Arabidopsis thaliana: one gene and its partner. The protein of the gene in region 1 interacts with the protein of each later gene in a pairwise test. Each region holds a gene or a part of one and is shown on either strand. Other genes may lie near its edges. The genes, in order: AT3G62870 and NAP1;1.

The links.
Region 2: the proteins of AT3G62870 (region 1) and NAP1;1 interact in binary tests that used the Arabidopsis thaliana proteins (3 or more experiments, as listed by UniProt).

Annotation. Positions count from the first base shown.
Region 1 is NC_003074.8:23,242,528-23,246,449, reverse strand, and holds AT3G62870 (Ribosomal protein L7Ae/L30e/S12e/Gadd45 family protein), read left to right. Parts: upstream 1-2,052; 5' UTR 2,053-2,176; coding exon 2,177-2,179; intron 2,180-2,427; coding exon 2,428-2,469; intron 2,470-2,574; coding exon 2,575-2,776; intron 2,777-2,857; coding exon 2,858-3,156; intron 3,157-3,259; coding exon 3,260-3,352; intron 3,353-3,456; coding exon 3,457-3,588; 3' UTR 3,589-3,889; downstream 3,890-3,922. Other genes in the region: AT3G62890 (Pentatricopeptide repeat (PPR) superfamily protein), read right to left, coding at 1-282; ATOEP16-4 (Mitochondrial import inner membrane translocase subunit Tim17/Tim22/Tim23 family protein), read left to right, coding at 448-519, 602-653, 737-802, 1,127-1,347.
Region 2 is NC_003075.7:13,230,619-13,234,540, reverse strand, and holds the start of NAP1;1 (nucleosome assembly protein1;1), read right to left. Parts: upstream 1,974-3,922; 5' UTR 1,830-1,973; coding exon 1,784-1,829; intron 1,662-1,783; coding exon 1,618-1,661; intron 1,423-1,617; coding exon 1,327-1,422; intron 1,167-1,326; coding exon 1,074-1,166; intron 922-1,073; coding exon 831-921; intron 738-830; coding exon 676-737; intron 587-675; coding exon 402-586; intron 264-401; coding exon 86-263; intron 8-85; coding exon 1-7. UniProt on the Arabidopsis thaliana protein: May modulate chromatin structure by regulation of nucleosome assembly/disassembly. Contributes to the regulation of cell proliferation and cell expansion. May function in nucleotide excision repair (NER). Involved in somatic homologous recombination.

The DNA of each region.
Region 1 (3,922 bases):
GTCAAGTCCAAAAAGAAGAATCTGAGCATGAGTTCGTTGCCCAAGAGGAAGATGAAGCGGATTGTGGAAAGAAGGGAGAAGAAACGGAAAGGTATGAAAATCGGGAGAGACGCGATGGTTGCGCATACGGAGGTAGACTGAGATCGGAGAATGTCGTTGAGGCGACGAAACATTGTGAACAATGGCACGAATGATGATGTTCCACAAGAAAGATTCAAGCTTTAGATGTCGAATATGAAAGATGGGATTTGCATAAGCTATTATTGCCGCCCCCTTGCTCATTGTCTCAATCTAACAAGTGTATCAGAAATCGATTTTAAATATCAAGTACGGTTTTGACAAAACCGAATTGAACCGGTATTTAAATGAATATTTGGTTTCTTAATCAATGTACGGACGGAGAGGTAACAAAACAAAAGGGTTTTGTCCTAATTCAATTTTGCAGAGATGGAGGAAGAATTGCTCTCCGCCGTGCCGTGCTCTTCCCTAACCGTCGAGTCAGTTCTCCGTGTCGCGACGGTAATCACTAGTATCCAATTGAAATTCATGTTTGTGTTAGTGTGTGTATAGATAGATGTCTGAGATTTTTGTTGAAGCTCAGGCCGGTGGATTATATGGGTTATGCGCCGGACCTCGTGACGCTCGTAAAATAGGTATTGAAATTAGCTTTGATTTAGAGAGTTTTTACACTTTTCAATTCATTAATCTGTGCTTTGTTGCTGATTTGCTTCGCCAGGTTTAAGCGGCGTTTCTCAGGCTTCCTTTGTGGCGAAATCCATTGGCAGATTCGGATTTCAATGCGGTAATTTGCTTCCTCTATTGTTTTTCCACCCAAATTAATCTTCAATGACTATGGAATTTGGGTATAAATCTGTAATTTTGGACTTAAGATAATTCTCTTCTTTGTCACTAGAAGAAGAATGCTGCATATACTTTTTTTTTGTTTTGAAAGATCATAATTCTCTGTTTTGCTTGCCATGTAATAATATATAATGCAGATTTCTTTTAGTTGTAATTTTTTTTGGATTAGTTGCTCTGCTCTTCTTTAACTTAGATCTAAATTCTTCAAGTAGTGATTGCTTCTTTAGATTTTGGTATATGCATCAAGAATTCATTTTTGTTTCAGGTCTTGTAAGTGGTGTGTTTACTATGACACATTGTGGGCTTCAACGATATCGAGGCAAGAATGATTGGGTGAATGCTTTGGTAGGAGGAGCTGTGGCGGGAGCAGCTGTTGCCATTAGCACAAGAAACTGGACACAGGTTGTTGGCATGGCTGGCCTCGTCTCTGCTTTTAGTGTTTTGGCTAATTGCACCAGGACAGAAAACCCAAACAACACTAATTAAGGTGATATTTAGAACACTGAATTTTGCTAATAATGCGAGTGTCTGTCGCAGCCACATTCACCGGATATTGAAACTATCTTATAAGCTTGCAGGTCTTTGACAAGTCCATTCAAGAAACTGTATGGAATTGGAACTTGAAGATCAATACACTGACTCTCCGGTTCGATCCTATTTAGTTGGCTGAACCCGTGGATGGTTCTTCTTTTCTATAGACCACACTTTTGGTCTTGTCTCTCTGTAGTCATCATGTACACACAAAGTCCCTCGAACCCGAAACCGTATTTGCATCAATGCTTATTACTGTATAATGTTATTTACAAGATAGAGATAGTCATAGAAAAATTAAAACATCAAAACTGATTTTTAATAAAGTGTATGTTAATAGCCATGCTGTTTCTTAGGAAAGCCAGTTTATTCACGAATCCACCATTTTTCTACTTCAAAATTTATAAATGTATTTCACTCTTTTTGATATGATTCTTTTTGTTCTATATGCTTTTTTGAATACTAAAAGCTATCAGATCGTTCGTTGTGTAATTTTTTTCTATAAAAAATATCGTTGATTTAATAAAAAAATATAGAAAGTAAGATATAAAGATCATGAATATATAATTTTCTTGACGAAAAATTATTTTCTTGATATTCAGAAAATCTATATTGAGAGAGCAATACGTGTCCAAAAACGTAATTTTCTCATCTGGGCTTCTGAGGAAAAAAAATATTTGTATCATTTGGGCTTCAGTGTCTTTATAAATAGTGAAAACACAAAACCCTAAGAGTCGCTCTTGCTCTCAGCCGTCTGTCTTACCTCCAGAAGTCGACGACAACAATGGTACGCCGCTTTTACACCATTTTGCAGCTTTCATTGCCACTTTCGTTTGTTTAGGATCTGTATTAGCTCTTTGTTTCCTCGAATTTGAGCTTCTTTCGTCAAATCTATATTGGAATCTGGCTTATACTTATGTCCCTGAGGATTCTGGCTTTGTTTGATTTCGTAGTTTGTATAGTGAATGCATCGATGCTATGGTGATATGTGACTCTTGTTTCTGATGCTTATCGCCGTTTGTTGTTGATTCATAGGCACCGAAGAAGGGAGTTAAAGTGGCTTCAAAGAAGAAGCCGGTATGCTCTCTTAGCTTTTCCTTTAAGCATTGTTTGTTTTTCTCTGAGTATTATTATTAGTCTTGGTGGAGTTTCTCATTAGATTTGTTGTTGTGTGTATTTTAGGAGAAAGTTACCAACCCATTGTTTGAGAGACGCCCAAAGCAATTCGGTATTGGTGGCGCTTTGCCTCCTAAGAAGGATCTTTCTCGTTACATCAAATGGCCTAAGTCAATCCGTCTTCAAAGGCAGAAGCGTATCCTTAAGCAGAGGTTGAAGGTTCCTCCAGCTCTTAACCAGTTCACCAAGACCCTTGATAAGAATCTCGGTTAGTCTCTTTTTCTTATGGTTATTCAGAAATCTATATGTTTGTATGATCAGTTGCTTAATGTGTGTCATGTAATTGCAGCCACCAGCCTCTTCAAGATTCTTCTGAAGTATAGGCCAGAGGACAAAGCCGCAAAGAAGGAACGCCTTTTGAACAAGGCTCAAGCTGAGGCAGAAGGAAAGCCTGCTGAATCCAAGAAGCCCATTGTTGTTAAGTATGGTCTCAACCATGTGACTTACCTCATCGAGCAGAACAAGGCACAGCTTGTGGTCATTGCACACGATGTTGACCCTATCGAGTTGGTGGTCTGGTTACCTGCACTCTGCAGGAAAATGGAAGTCCCTTACTGCATTGTTAAGGGAAAATCTCGTCTTGGAGCGGTAAATAATTCACCACTCCATGGATGTAAACTTCCATTAAGAGTTTTTCTTACTTTAATGTTTTCACCCTAATTTATGTTCATTTCCTGCTTCTACTCTCCAGGTCGTTCACCAGAAGACTGCTGCTGCCTTGTGCTTGACCACTGTCAAGAACGAGGACAAGCTTGAGTTCAGCAAAATCCTCGAGGCCATCAAGGTAATTAGCTGAATCAGCTTTTGACAATGGAATAGTTTTGAAATGATACTCTCATGTAGTCTTCAAACCATACTCTTAACGTGTTTTTTTGTTGGTGTGAATAGGCTAACTTCAACGACAAGTACGAGGAGTACAGGAAGAAGTGGGGAGGTGGCATAATGGGATCCAAGTCTCAAGCCAAGACCAAAGCTAAGGAGAGGGTTATTGCTAAGGAGGCTGCCCAGAGAATGAACTAGGCATCATACCTTATGTTCTCTGCTATGAAACATATGATAATGGTTTTGTTGTTTAGCGATATTTTGAAACCTTGTTTTATTTTAATTTCTATGCTCTTTCGGATGTTACCACCCTCTTCAGAATTTTATGCAGTTTTGTTATCAATTTCACATATAAACTTTTATTTGCAAAATAAATCCTTACTTTATTGTGGTTTTTACGTTACAACCGATATAATCTGGCCTGATGAATAATGTGTAAACATCAGAGGTGGATCAGCTTTTTGAAATGAACATTTAGTGATGGTATTGCCCAAACGCGGGGACTATTACATGCGTCAAAAATGGAATCCTG
Region 2 (3,922 bases), on another chromosome or scaffold:
CCTCAGCCTGCATCAAAGAACGAGAAAGAGTTACTAAATACATTAACTAAATGATGACAGGTTTTTCTAACAATCGTTATCTTACTCTTTCCTCGTCGATATCTTCATCTTCATCCGGAACTTCTGGAGGACTAAAGAAGTTGAAGAAGCTTTCACAATCTTCGAGTTTGGTGATTGGTTTAGTATTCTTTGAACCTTTCTTAGGCTTCTTCTTGAGAATCTTCTGAGTTAGACACTTTCCAGGATACCAATCAATTTCTGTCCTGAAAATGAATGGTGAAAGAATAAGAATCCATTTGCAATATAAGCGAAGAAAAAAAATAAGCAGCTCAATGCAATCAGCTAATAAGCAGAATATACTTAAAAGTATACAACAATTGCAAGAGAGTATAAGTAGTTACCCCATAGCCTTCTCAAGCAGTGGCTCATCTTCATCAATCATATGATAAGACTTTGTCAAGACAGTGTTCTTAAAATACGGATTCGTGTCAAAGAAAAACTCAAGTTTGAATCCTTTAGGCTCTTCAATCTTGCACCACTTAATATCTTTAAGATATTTGAGAGCCCCTTCATCACGCTCTGTGACCTGACATAAATGACAATAAGTTATGCTCATATTCCATGGTTATGATTGGAGTGTTTATAAAACGAACACCAAAACTGCATATAGGCTACCTCCTCGGAAATAACATCGTTATTTTTCAGAGCTGTCAGCCAGAAACTTGGAACTCCTTTCTCTGCAATGAAAAACAGAGAAAAATGTTAAATTGTTTTTGTCTTTCCAAAAAGATTAACAACAAACAAAGAAGACATAGTGCTCATGAAGTTACCTTCTGCAGTTTTCTCCTCTCCTTGGTCCACCTTGGTATCATCCTCTGGAGCCAGTTCAACTTCAGTAGTGCCATTCACAATCTCATAACGCTGTGCCATTACAAGATACCAAGTAGAATTCATTAAGATGCACATAGAAAACTAACACTGCTGCAGATAAGTAAACATAAGCAAAAAGAGTATACACAGATCTACATTGAGTTTAGTAAAATGGTTTGTAAAACTTTCTCATTAACAATTACCTTGACATACAAAGGCTGATACAGCGTTTGATACTTGGCTTCAAGAATAGCTCTCTCCTCACGGAATTTTGCCTCTAGTTCATCATGTTGGCTCTGCGTGGAAAGAAGTCATCAGTAATCAAAACGCAACACCTTACTTTTGAAACTTTAAATTCAGATAAGCAGGGAGAAAACTCACACAAAACAAAACAAACCCCATTAAACGATATATAGCACACATAGTTTGGTAAAATGTGAAAGAAATTTCGCTAACCTGTATATCCCTCAAGGCATCAACGCGCTTTCTCACATTGGGAGTCAGATTCTCGAGCACATCAGAACGCTGACCAGCCAGATTCTGCAGCTTGTTCTGTGAATTAATAACAATGTATTAACAACTCATAAACTATCATTGTACTAGAAGAATGACATTGAAACCAAAACACTAAACACCAAGACACGGCTTATAGTATCTAAACAATCAGAGGAAAGTAACTCAACATCCTCCATATCTTTCAATAGCAAATGCTCACGGGACAGTTTACAGAAGGGGAAAAAAACTCACCTTTAGAGCATTGACAAGGCCAGCTCGATCCTCGTCCTTAAGAGCTGCAAAAAAACAGTAAACAAAAGGAACACCAGTCAGATAACAGAGGAAATTAGGGTTAAAGCAGCTCTGGCTTAAGAGGCGGAGAAAGAGATAAGAGTAATCGTGAGTAGGAGTATTTTACCAGCAGTAAGATCGGAGACGTTGAAGCTATCCTTGTCGTTGCTCATCTTCTGAGGATTTGGTGAAGAGAGAGATTTTGAAGAAGAAGAAGCAGAAGAGACTAGGGACAAGGGTTTTGGGGAGGCGACTCGTAACCCTTAAATCCTCTTTGTTTTTTTGTTTTTTTCTCTCCCTCCTTTTCACACCAAAATTATAACAAATGCCATTTTAGTTTTTTCTCTTTTTATATATACTTTTCTTTCTCTAAAAATTGATGTTTAATGTTTTAAAAAGCAAAATTAAGTTTATTGAATTAAATAACATGCAAAACTTTACATACATATATATATGGATAATGAGAACTGACTTATATATAGATAATTAAAGTTTATTTATGAATTCAATCAATTATAAATATATATAACTAATATATAAACTTTAATTATCTATATAATTAAAATTTTGCATGTAATTATATTAATTATCTATATACTTATATATATATATATACACTTATATATATTTGATTCTTCACCAAATACAGTACAGGTTAGTGAACTTTAATGGGATCAAATAGAAGATTTCTGAATCTGTTAGTACTAAGGCCCATCCCAAGAATGAGCCTTCCAAGCCCAATACACTGATTACTTCTTTTGTTCACATACACTGTACATACTAATTAAAAACAAAAAACAGTCCACAACAAAAACAAAAAAACAGTCCACAACAAAAAGTCATATCCCAAAAGGCACAAAGATCTTTAGTTTGGTTTAAGCTCATCCCGAGTTCAAACGAATTAAACGTACTCTAATCTAGATTAGCTCATCACGACATTTTCAATTTGAAGTTTCAACCTTTTATACGTCTGACCAGAAACACAATAAAGAAGCCTCACGCGTAGCATTTTTTTTTAACCAGAAAACCATGAGACAAATTCAACCTAATCAGATAACTGTAAATCATTTCATTCATCCTATTAAAAGCAAAGGTGAAAAGCTTTTTGTACCTCCACGACTCCCACTTAAGAGAAACATTTTGTAGAGCTTTCAAGTCACGCGTAGCAAACACACCTGGTAAGTGGTCAATCTTTTTATATCATATAGCCATCATAAGAGTATCATTAATAGTAGTTTCTTAGCATAATCTTAATAGTTCTTATGAATATTTTTATAATTGATTTTGAAAATTTTGAAGTTAAGAATTTAGTTAAGAGATTGAAATTTTGGCAATATGCAATGGTGGACTCTTAACTTGAGTTCTTAAAAAAAAAATTGGAAAAAAAGTAGAAACATTATAATTTTAAAAAACTTAATAATTATTACAACTCAAAAAATTTGAAACATACATAACATAAAATTTTAAACAAATATGACAAACAATTAGATTTAATACTTAATTTATCTAAGAATTAAGATTAATTGAATTAAAACATTATATTTAATACCTAATTTATCTAAGAATTAACCTAAGAAACATTAGATTTGGCTCTTATATAAGAGTCATTTTTAACAATTAATTGAATTATAACATTAAATTTAAGACCTACTTTATCTAAGAACTAACCTTATAAACTATGAATAATGATGGTCTAAGCGCGCTTGTTGTTGAAACTCTCAAATAAACCGGATAATTTTAAAACCAGGTTTAGTTTAGTTGGTAGATTCGGCTCAAATAGTAGTATTTTTGTGGATTTAAAGATGCTCAGCATGTATATACATATGTGTTCTATAGATGTTTTACACATTTTTTCTATTTTACTATTCTGCTTGCCATAATCATTAGATTGTTTGGTTGAACCGAAGCATAGAAACCAAACCGAACATAGCACACAGCAACAAAACCGGAATCATTCAGAGGTAAATAATTTTTTTACATTACCCGCAACTGCAAGGAAAGAGGAAAAAAAAAAAGACGCAAACTTTGAGAAAGACATCCTCATCGTTTTCTGTCCATCGAAGCTCTTTTTTTTTTTTTTTTTTTTTATCTTCGTATTCAATTCTTGAGAGGAGAGAGAGAGAGAGAAGCATCCCAGAAAACGACATTCTGTTCATATGGAGTTTTTTCACCAGATCGAGAGCACGAAGAAGATGATTACTGGGTTTTGATTTAGTCGGCGAAAAATCCGTAATCTCATTGTTCGTGATCTCTGGGTTGTTTTTCT